Macaca fascicularis: one gene and its partner. The protein of the gene in region 1 interacts with the protein of each later gene in a pairwise test. Links are inferred from orthologs where the notes say so. Each region holds a gene or a part of one and is shown in the gene's direction. Other genes may lie near its edges.

Region 1 (3,510 bases):
TTGACGCCAGGAGTTTGAGGTTGCAGTGAGCTACAATTGTGCTGTTGCACTCGAGCATGGATGACAGAGCAAGACTCAATCTCTTAAAAAAAAAAAAATCTTTAATTCAGTACTAATTCACTTCTTGAGGAGTCGTGTATCTGGTAATCTTAGCATTGTTGCACGTAAGAGAAAACCAGAAAGGAAGTGATAGAGGCTTCCAAAACACTGTCACATAAATGAGGTTTTTTTGTGGGGGTTGGGAGGTTGTTTTTTTTGTTTCTGTTTTTGTTTTGTTGAGATGGAATCTCGCTCTGTTGCCAGGCTGGAGTGCAGTAGCGTATCTCGGCTCACTGCAACCTCCGCCTCCCGGGTTCAAGCAATTCTTCTGCCTCAGCCTCCCAAGTAGCTGGCACTACAGGCGCATGCCACCATGCCCAGCTAATTTTTGCATTTTTTGTAGAGATGGGGTTTCACCATGTTGGCCAGGATGGTCTCGATCTCTTTACCTCAAGTGATCTGCCTGCCTTGGCCTTCCAAAGTGCTGGGATTACAGGTGTGAGTCACTGCTCCCAGCCAAATTTTGTCACTCTTGGTTCAGTTGTCACTGACCACTTTTTTAAATTCTGTAGTGTTTTAAAACAAATCCCAGAAATCATGTTTCACCAGAAGTTCAGTATATATCGCTACATAGACATTTTTTCCATAACCATCATGTCATTATCACACTCAACAAATTAACTATAATTAATAAATTAATCATCTGATTTTCAGTCCATATTCCACTTGCCCTAGTTGTCTTAGAGGTACCTTTTTACTGTTAGCAGTAAACCAGGTCCAGGCAAGGCCACACATTGCATTTCCTGATTTTTCTTCAGTCTTTTATTCTGTTATATAAACTTCAAGGAGTCCAAGAACCATTGAAATAGATTACAAAAGTTTATATACATACTTTTTTCCTTGGTAGAGGATCATAGTATTTATCCATTTCTAATAGGGTTCTGTGACACAAAGTATGTTAGAAACCACTAATGTGGACTTTCTGGAATCATCGAACAGATTGTGATAATCCTTTATACACGAGTTTTCTTTCATTATATTTTTGTGTGTGTGTGACAGAGTCTCACTCTGTCAGCCAGGCTGGAGTGCAGTGGCACCATCTCAGCTCGCTGCAAACTCCACCTCCCAGGTTCAAGCAGTTCTCCTGCTTCAGCCTCCCAAGTAGCTGGGACTACAGGCTCGTACCACCACGCCTGGCTAATTTTTGTATTTTTAGTAGAGATGGCGTTTCACCTTGCTGGGCTGGTGTTGAACTCCTGGCCTCAAGTGATCTGCCTGCCTCAGCCTCCCAAAGTGCTGGGATTACAGGCATGAGCCACCACACCCACCCAAATTTTATCACTTTTGTTTCAGTTATCACCACTTTTTTTTTGTTGAGATGGAGTCTCATTCTGTTACCCAGGCTGGAGTGCAGTGGTACGATCTCAGTTCACTGCAACCTCCACCTCCCAGGTTTCAGCGATTCTCCTGCCTCATCCTCCTGAGTAGGGATCACAGGTGTGCACCACCATGCCTGGCTAATTTTTCTATTTTTAATAGAGACGGGGTTTCACCATGTTGGCTAGGCTAGTCTTGAACTCCTTGTCCTCAAGTGATCCACCTGCCTTTGCCTCCCAAAGTGCTAGGATTACAGGCATGAGCTACCACACCCATCCAAATTTTATCACTCTTGTTTCAGTTGTCACTGACCGCTTATTTTTTTTAAGACGTAGTCTCGTTCTGTCACCCAGGCTGGAGTGCAGTGGCATGACCTCAGCTCGCTGCAGCCTCCGCCTCCTAGGTTCAAGCAATTCTCCTGCCTCAGCTTCCTGAGTAGCTGGGATCACAGGTGCGCACCACCACGCCCAGATAATTTTTGTATTTTTAGTAGAGATGGGGTTTCACCATGTTAGCCAGGCGGGTCTGAAACTCCTGACCTCAGGTGATCCACCCACCTCTGCCCCGCATAGTGCTGGGATTATAGGCATGAGTCACCACGCCACCCTGTAGCATTAATGTTTATCTTGTAGCTATGTTACTGAATTAACAATTTTTTTTTTTTGGACGCAGAGCCTCACTCTGTCACCCAGGCTGGAGTAGAGTGGCATGAGCCTCTGCACCAGGTCCACTTTTTTTTTTTTTTTTTTTTTAATCCTGCAGTGTTTTAAATCAAATTTCATAAATCATGTTTCACCAAAAATGTTTGTACAAAGTTTTCTGAAATGTCTGAAATTCAGTCATTCTTTCTATGTTTTAGGTCAGCCAGGCATATAGGATTATATGGTACCTTATACTCAATAAGACCTTTGTCCTTTTTTTTTTTTTTTTAATGAAAAAATGAAACATAACTTGCTGGAAAATACTTGTTTGTTTTCACTAAACTTGACATATTAAAGTACTAATACTGGAAATAACGTTAATTATGCTATACACGGTTCTTTTTAGCCAAAAATAATATGGATGAAAATATGGATGAGTCAGATAAAAGAAAATGTTCACGAAGTCCCAAAAAAATAAAAACAGAGCCTGATTCTGAAAAAGATGAGGTAAAAGATTCAGATGCTGCAAAAGGAGCAGACCAAAGTGAAATGGATATCTCAAAGATTACTGAGAAGAAGGACCAAGGTAAGGAGAGTCAGCTGTGGAGGGCAGCCTGGGGGTGATAAGAATGCAGTGGATCGGGGTCCCACCACAGGAAAGGTACTGCGTTGTGTTTTCTTGATAATAGCTTTATTAAAATGTAATTCATATCCCATACAATTCACCCAATTAAAGTGTAAATTCAGTGGTTTTTAGTATAGTCACAAAGTTCAACCATTATCACGTCAATCTTAGAACATTTTCATAACCTTGAAAAGAAGCCTCATTCATACCCATTAGCAGTTACTTACCAATCCTTCCCCAAAGTGCCGCCAGCTTAGCGGTCTTCTTTCTGTCTCTCTGGATTTGCCTATTTTGGACAGTCCATAGAAATGGAATCAGGCAATATGTGGTCCTTTGTGGCTGGCTTCATCCACTTAGCATGTTTTTAAGGTTCATCCATGTTGTAGCATGTATCAGTACTTTCTTTCTATTTCTGAATAATACTCTGTATGGATATGCCACATTTTGTTATCCATTCATCAGTTGATGGACATTGGGCCGTTTCCTCTTTTGGCTATTATGAATAATGCTGCTATGAACATTCATGCAGAAGTTTTTTGTGGCCAAGCGTTTTCACTTCTCTTGGAGATATACCTAGAAATGGAATTACTGGATCATATGGTAACTCTGTTTAACCTTTTGAGGAACTACATTGTCTTTTGTAACAAGTCATTTTTTAAAAAACTAAATAAGCTAAATAATGCATGTGGCTAGAGATACGTTATAACTGTAAAAGTCTATACAAAATATTACATGAAGGTACTAGCGTGTGCAGTAGCCTGCCACATACTAAGTACTTTTTCATTATGGCATTCCATCGTTTTTAGATACTAAGGATCAGAATATTTA
Region 2 (3,953 bases), on another chromosome or scaffold:
TCTCTAACGTCGCTGCCCCCCTCCCTCCTGTGTTGCAGGCAAACATCCTGGGTCTCGCCGCCGGCCAGCGCTGTGGCCCCTCCTGACCGTCGTCTCTTCACTTCGCCTTTTTAAATCCTTGTATAACCCCGTGTTGTGTAAATACAGTTTTTTCTCTGGTGCTTCCGCCTGATTTTTGGGGCTGTGGGGGCGGGACCGGGGTGTGACCGCCTCGGGGTGGGCCGCGAGCGAGGCCGGAGACTCCACTGGGCGCCATCTTCGGGCAGCGAGTCAGCGCTGGATTGTAAATAAACAGCTGGAGTGGGGCGGGGAGGACGGTGGCCGGCAGGACGCAAAAAGAGGAAGCCGAAGCATGAGGCCTGCGACCGTTAGGCGGGCGCGCGCTCAGGGATTAGCCCCGCCCCGTCCGTGCCCCCGGCGCGCGCTCCCCCACTCTCCCGCTCGGCAACGGCGGCGGCCTTGTGCGCGTGCGCGCGAAATAACGGCCGCTGGCGGAGGGAGGGGGGTGGAATCGTTGGAGGGGGGAAGAGGAGAGAAGCCGCCCCGTCTCCCGCGCGCCCACCACCTGCGCCATCGTCAGCCAATCAGCAGCCGTCTCAGGGGTCTCGCGCTTGGGGCGACTCGGGCTGCTGGGTGGCTCCCCCGTCCCTCCGCCCGCCAGAGTCCCTCTCGCGCCCGCCCCTCCCGCTGGCCACGCGCGCGCTCGCGCTCGCGCCCGCTCCAGCCTCTTGTGTGTCCTCGCGCCCCCCGCCCGCCCTCCCCGCGCGCAGTGTGCTCCGCTCCCCCCACCCTCCACCTCCCCCCTCCTGCCCGCCCCGCGCGCCTCCTCCCCGGGTTCCCCCTCCCCCACCGCCGCCTCCTCCTCCTCCCGCCCCAGGGTGAGCGCGAGCCACCTCCCTCCCTCCCTCCGCCATGGATCCCAGCAACTGGAGCAGCTTCATCTTCCAGGTAACAACCCCCTCCCCCCGCCCCCACCCCCCTGCCCACACCCCCTCCTGCCCGCCCTCCCTCCCGTCCCACCCCCCCTCCGCGCGCCCGGTGCGCGCGCAGCTGTCCCCCTCCCTCCCTCGCGCCCTCCCCCGCCCTCCCCGAGGCGCCGGCTGGGCGCGCGCGCGGCGGGGGCCGAGGCTGCTCCCTCGCTCCCCCCACCCCGCCCCGCCAGGCTCCAACCGCCGCCGCCGCCGCCGCCGCCGCCGCCGCCGCCCGGGCCCCCGCCCCCGGCCCCGGCCCCGCGGGGCCTCCCGCCCCCACCCAGGGGGCGTCGCCGCCGCCGTCGCCGCGGCGCTCCGCGGCCCGCAAGGCGCCCTCCTTCCCTCCCTCCCTCCCGCCGGCCGGGGTGCGCGGGCGGCGGGGCGGCCCGCGGGCCATGCGTTCGGCGCGGCCCAGCCCGGCCGGCCGGGGGCGGCGCCCCGAGCCCGGGCCCCGCGCGGCCCGCGCCCCCGGCCCCCGCTGAGCCCCGGGGGCCCCGCTGCGGCCGAGGCCATGTTCCCGGTGTTCCCTTGCACGCTGCTGGCCCCCCCCTTCCCCGTGCTGGGCCTGGACTCCCGGGGGGTGGGCGGCCTCATGAACTCCTTCCCGCCACCTCAGGGTCACGCCCAGAACCCCCTGCAGGTCGGGGCTGAGCTCCAGTCCCGCTTCTTTGCCTCCCAGGGCTGCGCCCAGAGTCCATTCCAGGTGAGTAGGGCCGGCCGCGGCGGCCCGGGCTGGGGGGGCGCCCGCCCGCACTCGCGGCCCACTCGGCGCCTTGTTTCCGTAGGCCGCGCCGGCGCCCCCGCCCACGCCCCAGGCCCCGGCGGCCGAGCCCCTCCAGGTGGACTTGCTCCCGGTGCTTGCCGCCGCCCAGGAGTCCGCCGCGGCTGCTGCGGCCGCCGCCGCCGCTGCTGCCGCCGTCGCTGCCGCGCCCCCGGCCCCTGCCGCTGCCTCCACGGTGGACACAGCAGCCCTGAAGCAGCCCCCGGCGCCCCCTCCGCCACCCCCGCCCGTGTCGGCGCCCACGGCCGAGGCCGCGCCCCCCGCCTCCGCCGCCACCATCGCCGCGGCGGCGGCCACCGCTGTCGTAGCCCCAACCTCGACGGTCGCAGTGGCCCCGGTTGCGTCTGCCTTGGAGAAGAAGACAAAGAGCAAGGGGCCCTACATCTGCGCTCTGTGCGCCAAGGAGTTTAAGAACGGCTACAATCTCCGGAGGCACGAAGCCATCCACACGGGAGCCAAGGCCGGCCGGGTCCCCTCGGGTGCTATGAAGATGCCCACCATGGTGCCCCTGAGCCTCCTGAGCGTGCCCCAGCTGAGCGGAGCTGGCGGGGGAGGGGGAGAGGCGGGTGCCGGCGGCGGCGCTGCCGCAGTGGCCGCCGGTGGCGTGGTGACCACGACCGCCTCGGGGAAGCGCATCCGGAAGAACCACGCCTGCGAGATGTGCGGCAAGGCCTTCCGCGACGTCTACCACCTGAACCGACACAAGCTGTCGCACTCGGACGAGAAGCCCTACCAGTGCCCGGTGTGCCAGCAGCGCTTCAAGCGCAAGGACCGCATGAGCTACCACGTGCGCTCACATGACGGCGCTGTGCACAAGCCCTACAACTGCTCCCACTGTGGCAAGAGCTTCTCCCGGTGTGCACGGGGCCTCGGCCGCCCGCTAGGCCGTGGGGAGGGAGGGACGCGACGGAGGTGGCCTGGCCGTTGCTGGCGGGGAGGGAGGCGGCTGCTGAGGTTGGGGAAGGGGAGCCCCTCCCAGGGCGGAGGGAGGAAGCCTCTCCCGGTTACCAGGGAGCAAGGGGTGGTCCTTTGTCAAGGAGGTGGGCCTTGGGGTTGACGGAAGCTAAGCGTGGGAGGAGGCGGCGGCGGCAGCGGCTGGGTTCCAGGGGAGGGATTTCCTGCCGAAGTGGCGCTGTGACGGCCCGGCCTCCGGGAGGAGGCGCAGGGATCCCCGGAAAGGCCTGTGGTGCAGGTTGGCGGATTTGGGGCGCACCACCTGCGCCCTAACCCCAACCCCAACGTGTCCCCAGGCCGGATCACCTCAACAGTCACGTCAGACAAGTGCACTCAACAGAACGGCCCTTCAAATGTGAGGTAGGAAGCCCGCCTCCTCCCGTCCTGGTTTTCATGATTTTGATCCTCATGGTAGTTGTCTGAGTTCAGCCTCTCAGACCCCCTTTTTCTCTCTCTTCTTTTTGCCTTTTCACTCCATTTTCTCATCCCTTTTTCAAGGCCTCATCATGTCACTCCCATTTCCTACAGATCAAAGATCCCCAAGGCTCTGATACCTTTAACCTCTTGCTCCCCCCTCCCCAGCCCGCCAAGCTTTAACTCTCCTGTGACACCCCCCACGCCCCTCCCCCCTCCCCAGAAATGTGAGGCAGCTTTCGCCACGAAGGATCGGCTGCGGGCGCACACAGTTCGACACGAGGAGAAGGTGCCATGTCACGTGTGTGGCAAGATGCTGAGCTCGGCTTATATTTCGGACCACATGAAGGTGCACAGCCAGGGCCCTCACCATGTCTGTGAGCTCTGCAACAAAGGTACATGCCGAGGACTGCCGGGAGGGCCAGGGGCAGAGGGTGGGCGCCTAGCCAGACGCCCTGCCACGGATACGGGCTAAGGGTGCTGTAGCCAAGAGCTCGTGGCGTCTAGAGTCCTCCAAGAGGTCAAGGGAGCAGCGGGGGACACCTGAATTAATGTTGTTAGACTCTTAAGTCCTGGCTGGAGGAGAGATCTGCCAGAGAGGTTGAACCTCCTGGGCATACGTGGGGAGAGCGGGAGTGGAACTTGGCTGCTCTGGGGAAGGGAGTAGTCAAGAAAGCCAGTTCCAAGGGTCACAAGGCAAGGTTTCCGCCGCGCAGCCACAAGGTCTTGTCTCCAGCTCCTGGGGCAGGTGGAGTAGTACACGGGCTGGGATTTACCAGCACGCACCCTGCACGGGTAGCAGAGAAAGCTGCCTTCAGTCAGACTCACCGGTT

The links.
Region 2: the proteins of BPTF (region 1) and MAZ interact in a two-hybrid assay, tested with the Homo sapiens proteins (2 studies listed by BioGRID). The link is inferred for Macaca fascicularis from reciprocal best matches to the Homo sapiens genes BPTF and MAZ.

Annotation. Positions count from the first base shown.
Region 1 is NC_088390.1:74,343,589-74,347,098, forward strand, and holds part of BPTF (nucleosome-remodeling factor subunit BPTF), read left to right. Parts: intron 1-2,463; coding exon 2,464-2,643; intron 2,644-3,510. UniProt on the Homo sapiens protein: Regulatory subunit of the ATP-dependent NURF-1 and NURF-5 ISWI chromatin remodeling complexes, which form ordered nucleosome arrays on chromatin and facilitate access to DNA during DNA-templated processes such as DNA replication, transcription, and repair.
Region 2 is NC_088394.1:28,296,810-28,300,762, reverse strand, and holds the start of MAZ (myc-associated zinc finger protein), read left to right. Parts: upstream 1-1,152; 5' UTR 1,153-1,482; coding exon 1,483-1,674; intron 1,675-1,756; coding exon 1,757-2,607; exon of another isoform or gene 2,608-3,002; coding exon 3,003-3,066; intron 3,067-3,204; exon of another isoform or gene 3,205-3,343; coding exon 3,344-3,515; intron 3,516-3,953. Other genes in the region: kinesin-like protein KIF22, read left to right, coding at 39-86. UniProt on the Homo sapiens protein: Transcriptional regulator, potentially with dual roles in transcription initiation and termination.